Linked DNA regions of Macaca fascicularis. The protein of the gene in region 2 interacts with the protein of the main gene of each other region in a biochemical or structural test. Links are inferred from orthologs where the notes say so. Each region holds a gene or a part of one and is shown on either strand. Other genes may lie near its edges.

What was found.
Region 1: the proteins of MYH9 (region 2) and S100P interact in a biophysical measurement, tested with the Homo sapiens proteins (2 studies listed by IntAct). The link is inferred for Macaca fascicularis from reciprocal best matches to the Homo sapiens genes MYH9 and S100P.

Annotation. Positions count from the first base shown.
Region 1 is NC_088379.1:6,400,851-6,405,255, forward strand, and holds the start of S100P (protein S100-P), read right to left. Parts: upstream 2,805-4,405; 5' UTR 2,752-2,804; coding exon 2,614-2,751; intron 1-2,613.
Region 2 is NC_088384.1:15,293,439-15,297,864, reverse strand, and holds the start of MYH9 (myosin-9), read right to left. Parts: upstream 2,860-4,426; 5' UTR 2,700-2,859; intron 1-2,699. UniProt on the Homo sapiens protein: Cellular myosin that appears to play a role in cytokinesis, cell shape, and specialized functions such as secretion and capping. Required for cortical actin clearance prior to oocyte exocytosis. Promotes cell motility in conjunction with S100A4.

The DNA.
Region 1 (4,405 bases), on a different chromosome or scaffold from region 2:
TTACAGATGAAGACGATAAGGCCCAGAGGGCCCAAGGGGCCTGCCCTGAGGTCACACAGGGAGCCAGGGAAAGCCAGGGTTGAGTCCCAGGTGTGGAGCGAGCACGGACCACCCTGAGCCCTGTTATTCCTCTCTGCTTGGGTACCCTGGCTTGGGGTCCCAAGCTCTCAGGTCTTCTTTGAGAAGGCCAGGCCGGCAGGGCTCTCAGAGCCTGCCCATGTGATGGCAAAGCATTCTCACTATGGGACCAAGAGGGACCAGGATGCAGATCTGAACAGCAGCAGCAGGGGGTGCTGATGACCCAGCCCTGGGCCAGAGAGCCGTGTGTCCAGGTGGAAAAAAACAATTAAAATTGGTAGACACAGATCGTCTGACCAAGACACAACTGTGTGCATGAAAACCTTAGTGACAGCATGGTTTTTTAATAGCAAAAGTAAGGCAGGGAAGTATAAATTCAATAGCAAACAAATAGTGGTTTGGCCACGTCACAATACCCTGCGGCCATTTCAAGTGATGTTTACGAAGTTTGTAGCCAGTCACCTCGTATTTACAAAGCTCCAACTGTGGGGCCTGGGCTGGGCATGGAGGAGATAAGGCCACAAGGCCAGCCCAGCCCTGCCCTCAGGCAGACATTGTTCTCTGACTCCGACTCCAGCTTTGCTAGGCTTCAGCAGCATCTGGAGGCAGGGCTGAGAAGGACACCCGGGGCCTCCCTGAGGTGATTCTTTTTTTTTTTTTTTTTTTTTTTTTGAGATGGAGTCTCGCTCTGTCGCCCAGGCTGGAGTGCAGTGGCGCGATCTCGGCTCACTGCAAGCTCAATGCCCGGCTAATTTTTTGTATTTTTAGTAGAGACGGGGTTTCACCGTGTTAGCCAGGATGGTCTCGATCTCCTGACCTCGTGATCCGCCTGTCTCGGCCTCCCAAAGTGCTGGGATTACAGGTGTGAGCCACCGCGCCTGGGATCCCTGAGGTGATTCTAATGTAACACAAGTTTGAGGACCCCCAGCTTAGCCATTGCTTCTCAGAGTGTGTTCCCAGGACACCTGCGCTTCCCCACACCCCGGTGTCTTGGATCAAAGTCCTCATGGGTTCAATTCTCATCCTTTGATGATTATCAGAACACCCCGAGCCCCAAGCCCAAGTTCCCAGGATGGGGCTGGGGTGTTTAATGAACATCAGAGTTTGAGATTTTATGCTGTAATGTTAAGCTCACAAAGAAATTAAACTGCATATAAATCCCACTCACAGCAACGTTCACATGGGGAAAAGACTGGAAGGGAGAGGAAGAGTCTGTATTCCAGGGGGGATTTCTTCCCTCCATATTTATCTGTTTTTACATTTTCTACCAAAACAGAACTTTATTTTTAAAAGATATCTTTACAGAATTTACATTTAGAAAATAGAATGAGGCCAGGTGTTGGGGCTCACGCCTGTAATCACAGCACTTTGAGATGCCGAGGTGGATGCGTTGCCTAAGCCCAGGAGTTTCAGACCAGCCTGGGCAACATGGTGAGACCTTGTCTCTAAAAAAAAAATACAAAAATTAGCCGGCTGTGGTGACATGCACCTGTAGTCCCAGCTACTTGGGAGGCTGAGGTGGGAGGATCACCTGAGCCCAGGGAGGCAGAGGCTGTGGTGAGCCGTGATCCTGCCACTGCACTCCAGCCTGGGCGACAGAGTGACAGCTTGTCAAAAAAAAAGAAAGAAAGAAAGAAAAGAAAAGAAAAGCAGCAATCTTCCGAAGTGTTTCATGTCTTTGAAGTGATTCTAGGGCTGAAAATGTCAGGCTTTCATTTTCGATTATCAGCAGCCATGTGGGTCAGCCCCTTAGATGGTAGGTTGGCAGAATCTGGTGGGGCCCGAAGGGGAGGGGAAGGAAGGAAGGAAGTGGGGGAGTGAGAAAGAAGGAGAGGACAGCGGTCAAAGAGAAGGGGAAACGGAGAGGGGAAGGCTTCTGTTCAGCCCAGACGGAGGCTGCCCCAGGTGGAAGGAAGCTGGTCCTGGCCGCCCCAAGGGGCCTTCTGTGAGGCTCAGGCCAGTGGCTTCTCCCTGGCAGGGAGCCCAAGGGAGGTCCGCAGCTCTGCGCAGACAGGTGCCAGGATGGAGCCTCCTCCTGTCCTTCCTGCCAGCCCCACTAATACCAGGCAACAAGGGGCCTGGGGATGGGAGCAGGGAAGGCGGACAAGTGGGAGGTGGAGCTGGGGCGTTTATGGCCGGCAGCCTTGGAGGACAGCCCCGAAGGTTCGAGGGCTTGGCAAACTTGCAAACGGCGGCCCTGGATTGCATTCCGCCCCTGCCCCCACTGCACAGGTTTGAGCCCCACTCTCCCACCAGGCCTGTCACAAATACACTGGGGTCAACTCCATGTTTCAAGGATCAAGCTGACCATACCCTCTCCCTGCTCAGATGCTCCAGCGTCCCCTGCCTTGATGCCAAGGTGGGTCCGTTCCTTGGCTGGGCTTCTAGGGCATTTCAGGATCTGTCCCTCTTGCCTCTGAGCCCCTTGACTGCCGACCCGACCCCACCCCACCGCAGCTCTCGGCCCTCTGCCTGCCACGCCTTCCCCTTCTTCCCCAGGCCCTGCTGAGTCCAGCACTGCTGGCCTGGGCTCACCTGCAGGAAGCCGGGTAGCTCCTTCTCCATCAGCACCTTGAGCTCCCCCTTGGTCAGGGTCTGCGTGCTGCCCTCGCTGCCTGAATATCGGGAAAAGACGTCTATGATCATGCCCATGGCTGTCTCCAGTTCCGTCATGGTGCTGGATTCAGACAAACCTTCCTCCTGGGGGCTGGAAGGGCCGAGAAAATGTCGCACTGGCATCCTCTTGTGCTTTATAAGGCAACCTCATATTGACACAGAGGGTGGGACAGTGGGGTTGGGACATTCAGGAAGTCCTGCCCCTCCCCATTCATGTGCTCAGTTCTGATGAAATGCATCGTTGTGATGACCTTTCTGGAAACTTTCTCCCAGCCAAGGCCCATGGTGTGGGCTGCCTCCAGGCGTCCGCATTTTACAATGTTCACCTGTGTCTCGGGGCCATCACTGAGCCACCGTGGTGTCCTCATCCCTGGCCCTCCCTGGGTAAGCGGCCACGGGGTGAGTGTGTGAGGAGTGAGTGGTGACTCCGTGGCCCTTTGTGTCAACATCAGAGTGTTCTGGCACCAGCGTGCTGACACGAGGAGACGTCTGAGAGTGAATTCACACTGGGCGTGTGTGTGAACACGGATCTGCCCCGTCACCCCTTTCTTAGAACACCCTGTGTCCTTCAGAGGCCCAGCTTCCACCTCAATCACGCTGGCTCCTCCCCTGTGGGGCCAAATGGAAAACTCCCCTTCGTCCTCTGGGAGTTCGCTGAAAATCAGCGGGCAAAAGGCAGATGAATAGGAGAAGAGCATAACAGATGTATTTGATGGTTGCTTATGTGGCACAGCAGCCTTCAAGATGAAGACCCAAGGATCTGGGGGAAACTGTCCATGTTTACAAACATAAACACAGTTCAGCAAAGTATGGAAATATGATTGGACACAAAAGTAAGGCCGGACGCTCATAAACCAAGAGGAAAACCCGGCCGGACTCTCGTAGACCAGGAGGAGAACCCGGCAGGGCCTGTCGGGTCAGATTCCCTGCGGCCTTTCTGAGCAGCTCTCCTTCCTTCTAGGTGTGGGGTAGGCCCCTCTCTGGAATGGAGCTCTTATGACCTCCAGTCAAATAAAGCAGGCCAGGGGGTTTCTTTAGGCTGGTTTCTACACAGAAAGGGGAGGGAGTGGAGAACTGGAGTCATATTTCTGGGTTTTACGGCAGGGTTTGGGGAAGCCTCTCAGAGGAGAAGGAGGGGTTGGAGACAGGAGGGTGGGAGCAGGACAGAGAAACTTTTGCTTCTGAGGTTTACACGTTGGGGTGTTATTTTTTGAGCCCTGGCACTTACCAAACCCAGAGCAGTCACAGGGCTTAGACAGCACGAAGGCTCCTGGGACCTTGGGGCAGGGTCAGGGACTCTGGTCTCAGGCACGGTAGCACCCCTCCCCATCTCTATAGTGGAGGCACTCAGAGGGCCTGTGCATGGGAGGCTGAGAGAGTCCTGGAGAGCGCGGAGGTAAGGAGCATGGAGGTAGGGGCCTGTGTTCACATCCTGCCCCAGTCAAAGTAGGCCCACACTCAAAGGCCTCTCTCTCGGTAGAGATCTTCCAGAGGGTCAGCCTCCAGCAAGTTCCCTAACCTCTCCCAACACAGCCCCCACCAGCACATGGGCCAGGACTGTGCCCGCGGGGCTGTGGCTCCACACAGAAAACCCTTGGTGCACACGGGAGCAGCAGGTCTCACAAGAGCCGGCTTTCTCAGAACACACTGCCCCTGCCCAGGTGTCCTGCAGGGGAGGCTCAGAGTGGCCCCACTGGTGACCCCTTGGGGA
Region 2 (4,426 bases):
ATAATGCTTGGGAGGAAGCTGTCAAGGCATGGGTTTTTTCGGTTTGTTTGTTTTTTTTTTTTTTCTCTTCTTCCTTTGCTTTGGGTTTCTCTTTCTCCCCCTCCAAGAGAAGAAGGGTACGGCTCGGAGGAAAACGACAGCCAACCCCTCCTCTCCTTTTGAAATAAAGATGTCAAGCTGGTAAGGGCTGTCTTAAGTACTTTATTGAAGAATTAGCTAGAAGAGGAAGTAAAGGAAGAACAGCCAAGCTGATTTCTAGCAATACCCTACCAGGCTACATAACAATGCTGCATTTTTTGAGTGTGTTTTTCTTCTTTTAAAGCGCTAACAGATCCTTGTTTTGTTTTTTCTGGAGCAAGAGCGGGCAAAAGGCAGGCTGTGATTAACATGCGTCCTTCATCCTACAAGAGAGAAGTTGTCCCATCTCCAACCCCTTAGGTTAAAAAGTTTAAAAATAAAAGCAAGAAAGCCAGGGCCCTGATCTTCTCTTTCCTCTACCCTGCTGAACCTTTCAGATGAGCAGCCTCACAGAATGCTGCTCTTTTCTCCCGGACTGGAGAGCTCCCCAAACGGAGCCTGCCAATGCCGGCTCTCCAGACACCTGGATCTGCCCACCTGCGCTGCCAGGGCTTGCTGAGTATGAAGACTGAAGTTCTTTGGTGTCACCCCACAGTCATCTAGGGCGCAGTGGCTCTCAAATTACACTAAGCAATCTCTCCATGTTTTTAATTACCCTCCAATTACCCACAAAGAGGCTCCTCACTTTCCAGCACCGCGTGCTTGCCTCAGTTTGCCAAACCTGCAATGTGCTTCTCCCTTGTAGCAGCTCCCTCCTTGTCCCAGAGAAGTGGCCCCTCTCAGCCTTGAAATTCCTCGAGTCCTTTGTCTATGGCATACTTGGGACACACATCACAGGCTGCCTTTGTATTTCACTCGTTCTGCCACTTTCCCCTTGAGGACTGTAAACTCCCCAAGGGCAGAGGCAGGGCCCGGGATTTCACAGGGCAGTCTGGCTCCCTTCTCCCAATCTCCATGACTCACAGTACCTTTCCGGGGTCCCTGTCATCTCCACCTCACGTTAGACTCATCTACGGATTTGTCTCAGTTCTCCCCTAAGTGCCCATGGGCATGGGCCAGGTCTTACTCAACTCCCATCCCCCACCACCTGCCAGAGTCCCTGGCACAGAGAGGGCAGTTAAATATTTGCTCAATTACACATCTGTGTCCTCTTCCCCCCACATAGCAGCCTTGTATACAAACTGACTATTATTAATTGAGTGATTGTCTCAAAAGGCCTCCCTCCTTACCAAAAAGGAACTCCTAAGCCATCAGGTGAGCCAAACACTGGCCCAGACAGTGGAGTTAGAATGGCCACAGTGTTGCGCCGCATGGAGAAGGAGCCAAGGTTCTCTTCCCTTTCCACAGTTACTGAACAGTTACTTTGAAATCCTGTTAAACCCAGAAAAGGGCGCAGTGAACCGAAAAGTGGCTGGGCCTCTCAACTGCCCGGTGGAGAGAGCGCCTGCCTCCACGACCTGGGACTTCCCAAGGAGTCTGCTCTCCACACCGGCTGGGTGGGGCCGAACGTTCACCCTGCCCCCCACCTCAGGACAGCCGGCAAGCTAGTGCTGGGGGTGCTGCCTCTCAGTTTGAAACAGCGGGGCTTTCCTGGAGGAATGAGGATGCCGCCGTCCTATCTCCTGCGCGTGGCCCCAGAACAGGATGGGGTGGGGACTCCAGCACAGGGAAGCGGGTGCGGGGAGTGGAGAATAGAAAACTCCGATCTGGCTCAAACAGGAAAGATGCAATCGCCCAGGCCTGGTCGTAACGGCAGAGCCAGCTGCCGCCGCGCCCCGCCCGGGCAGGATGGCCCCTGGGTGCGGTGGAATCAGGTGCACGCCTGGGCGGCCCCGACGGCTGCTGCATTCCGGGCCTCCCTCCCCCGGGGAACAGAAGTCGGAGGTCGAGGGCTGGAGCAGGGGCTGGGGGTGGCCCTTCCTGCCTCGCGCCCAGGTCCCCGCCGGGTCCTCCTTGTCCGGGCAGCCGCCGCACCTCCCCCGGGCCCTCCTCGGCCAGCCTGACGGCAGCGGGCGAATGAGGAAGTCGGCCGCGGAGGCGGAAACCGGGCCGGGTGCAAGGTCTGCAGCGGGACGGTCCGACTCTGACTCAGGAGGACGCCCTGACAGCTGCCAAACGGTGCCCGCTGCCCGTTACCTCCGTGCCTCAGACGCCAGGAACTTCCACCGGAGCGGCTGCCCCGGGCTCCCAACCCGTGAGGCTGGGTCCCAGGGGCCGCGGCTCCCGGAAGGGGTTAAAAAGTTTGCCAGAGTCGGGCCTGGGCGAGGCGAGGCGAGGGCGGGGCGCGTGCCCCAGCGGCAGGGGGAGGTCGGCTCCGGTGCCCAGTCCTGGGACCGCACCGGGGAACACGAGGGGCGCAGGGGAGCGCGGGTCCCGAGGCCGCCCCTGCACCCCGAGGCCTCGCTGCCGCCGGCCCCCTCCCCGAGTTCCCGCGCGGGGGTCCCGGTCCCCCTGGGAAGGATGCGGTGCCGGGCACCGGGCCGCCGGCGTCCGCGCCTGCCCGCGCGGGTGGCGGGCCGCACCGAGCCCAAGAACCACAAGTCGGCCCGGCGGCCGCGCGTCTCGCCCCCGCCCGCCCGCCGCCGCCTGCCCGGGGCGGGACCGCGGTGGGGCTCGCTCACCTGAACCTGGATCTGCCCCGGGAACAGGAGCTGGTCTCCCGAGAGGACTTTCTCGAGCGCTCGGGCGGCGGCCGGGTGGGGCGAGCGCACGAGGCGGGAGCTGCAGCAGGTCAGCCTTGCTCAGCCTTCAGTGCCCTGCCCAGGAACCGCGGTGATCTGCGCGCCTCACCGCACCCAGCTCGGCTCCTCGCCGCCTTCCCGCCCCGCCCTCGGAGTCGCGGGCCCATTCCCAGCCCGGAGCCGGCTCCGGGGCGGAGCCTGGAGGCACAATCCCGCCCTCCTTCCTGCTTCACCCACTGCAGGCCGCGCCTGGCTTTGATGGGCAGACGTGTTGGCCTCTGGAAAGGGGAGTGGGCGGAGCCTCTGCGGCCAGATGGGTGGGGATTCATCCTCCTCTTTCGCCCCCACCTCACCACCCGCTCCACCTTCCTCCGCTTCCTAGGCGGGAGCCCCGCCCTCTAGGGCGGGTCCAACGGACAGCCAGGTTCTAGGATAGGATTGACACAGAGGGAATCCAATCAGGAGGCGGCAACTCGGGGCGCGGAGGGCTCCGGGCCGGGATTTTGGTGCCTTGCCTGGGCCGGGGCGAGGCCCGCCGGGAGCCGACAGTGAAGGTCTGGAACTCCCCGCCCCGGAGGCCGACTGGGAAGGTCTGGATACCCCGCCCCGCGAGCTGTGCTCTCAGTCTCCTGTCATCCCACCAGAAGGACAGATATTAAGTACCATATATGGGAAAAATGCTATTTTACATAATTATGATCCCTGTGGGGGCGGGCATGGACTCAACCCTGGATTCCATTGTGGGCGTCTTGAGTTCGATTCCTGACCCTGCCTCTTTAGAGACCGCACGTTGCTGCCTTTCAGCCTCCAAACCTTTGCTCTGGCCGTTCTTTCAGCCTGGAATACCCTTCGGAGCCTCTCTTCACCTCCATGTCATTAACTCGCATACATCCTTTCAGATGCTTGTTACAAATTGCACTTTTTTTTGTTGTTACTGTCCACTACAAGAGGATAAAAAATGTTTTCATTTTTAAATGAAAAATCTTTTGATCCATCTGGAATTTATTTTTGGGGTGAGGAAGAAACCTGACATAATTTTTGTAAAAGCCACTTGTCCAGACACTATTTCCTCCACTGATTTTAGTTGGCACCTTCATCGCCTATTCAACTATTTTATACTTTAAGCTGTTTCTGACTTGTATACATTGATCTTTCTGTGTGCACCTGTGCCAATCCTTCAATGCTTTAATGATGATACCTTTATAATACATTCTATATCTATGAGGGTAAATTTCTCATCCTTACTCTTTCTTACTGGAATGTTCTTCCTATCATGACGAAACTGTTCTTCCAAATTAACTTCAGAAAAAAAACTATGTTCTAAAGGCAAAAAAAAGCTGGGAAAAAAAAGATTTTGCAACTCTGTGACAAAGAATTACTATCAGCAGTATATAAAGATCTCTTCCCAGTTGATAAGAAAAACCTCAGCGGGGCACGGTGGCTCACGCCTGTAATCACAACACTTTGGGAGGCCGAGGCAGGCGGATCACCTGAGGTTGGGAGTTCAAGACCAGCCTGACCAACATGGAGAAACCCCGTCTCTACTAAAAATGCAAAAAAATTAGCCAGGCATGGTGGCCCATGCTTGTAATCCCAGCTACTCAGGAGGCTGAGGCAGGAGAATCGCTTGAACCCAGGAGGCGGAGGTTGCAGTGAAAAGAGATCAT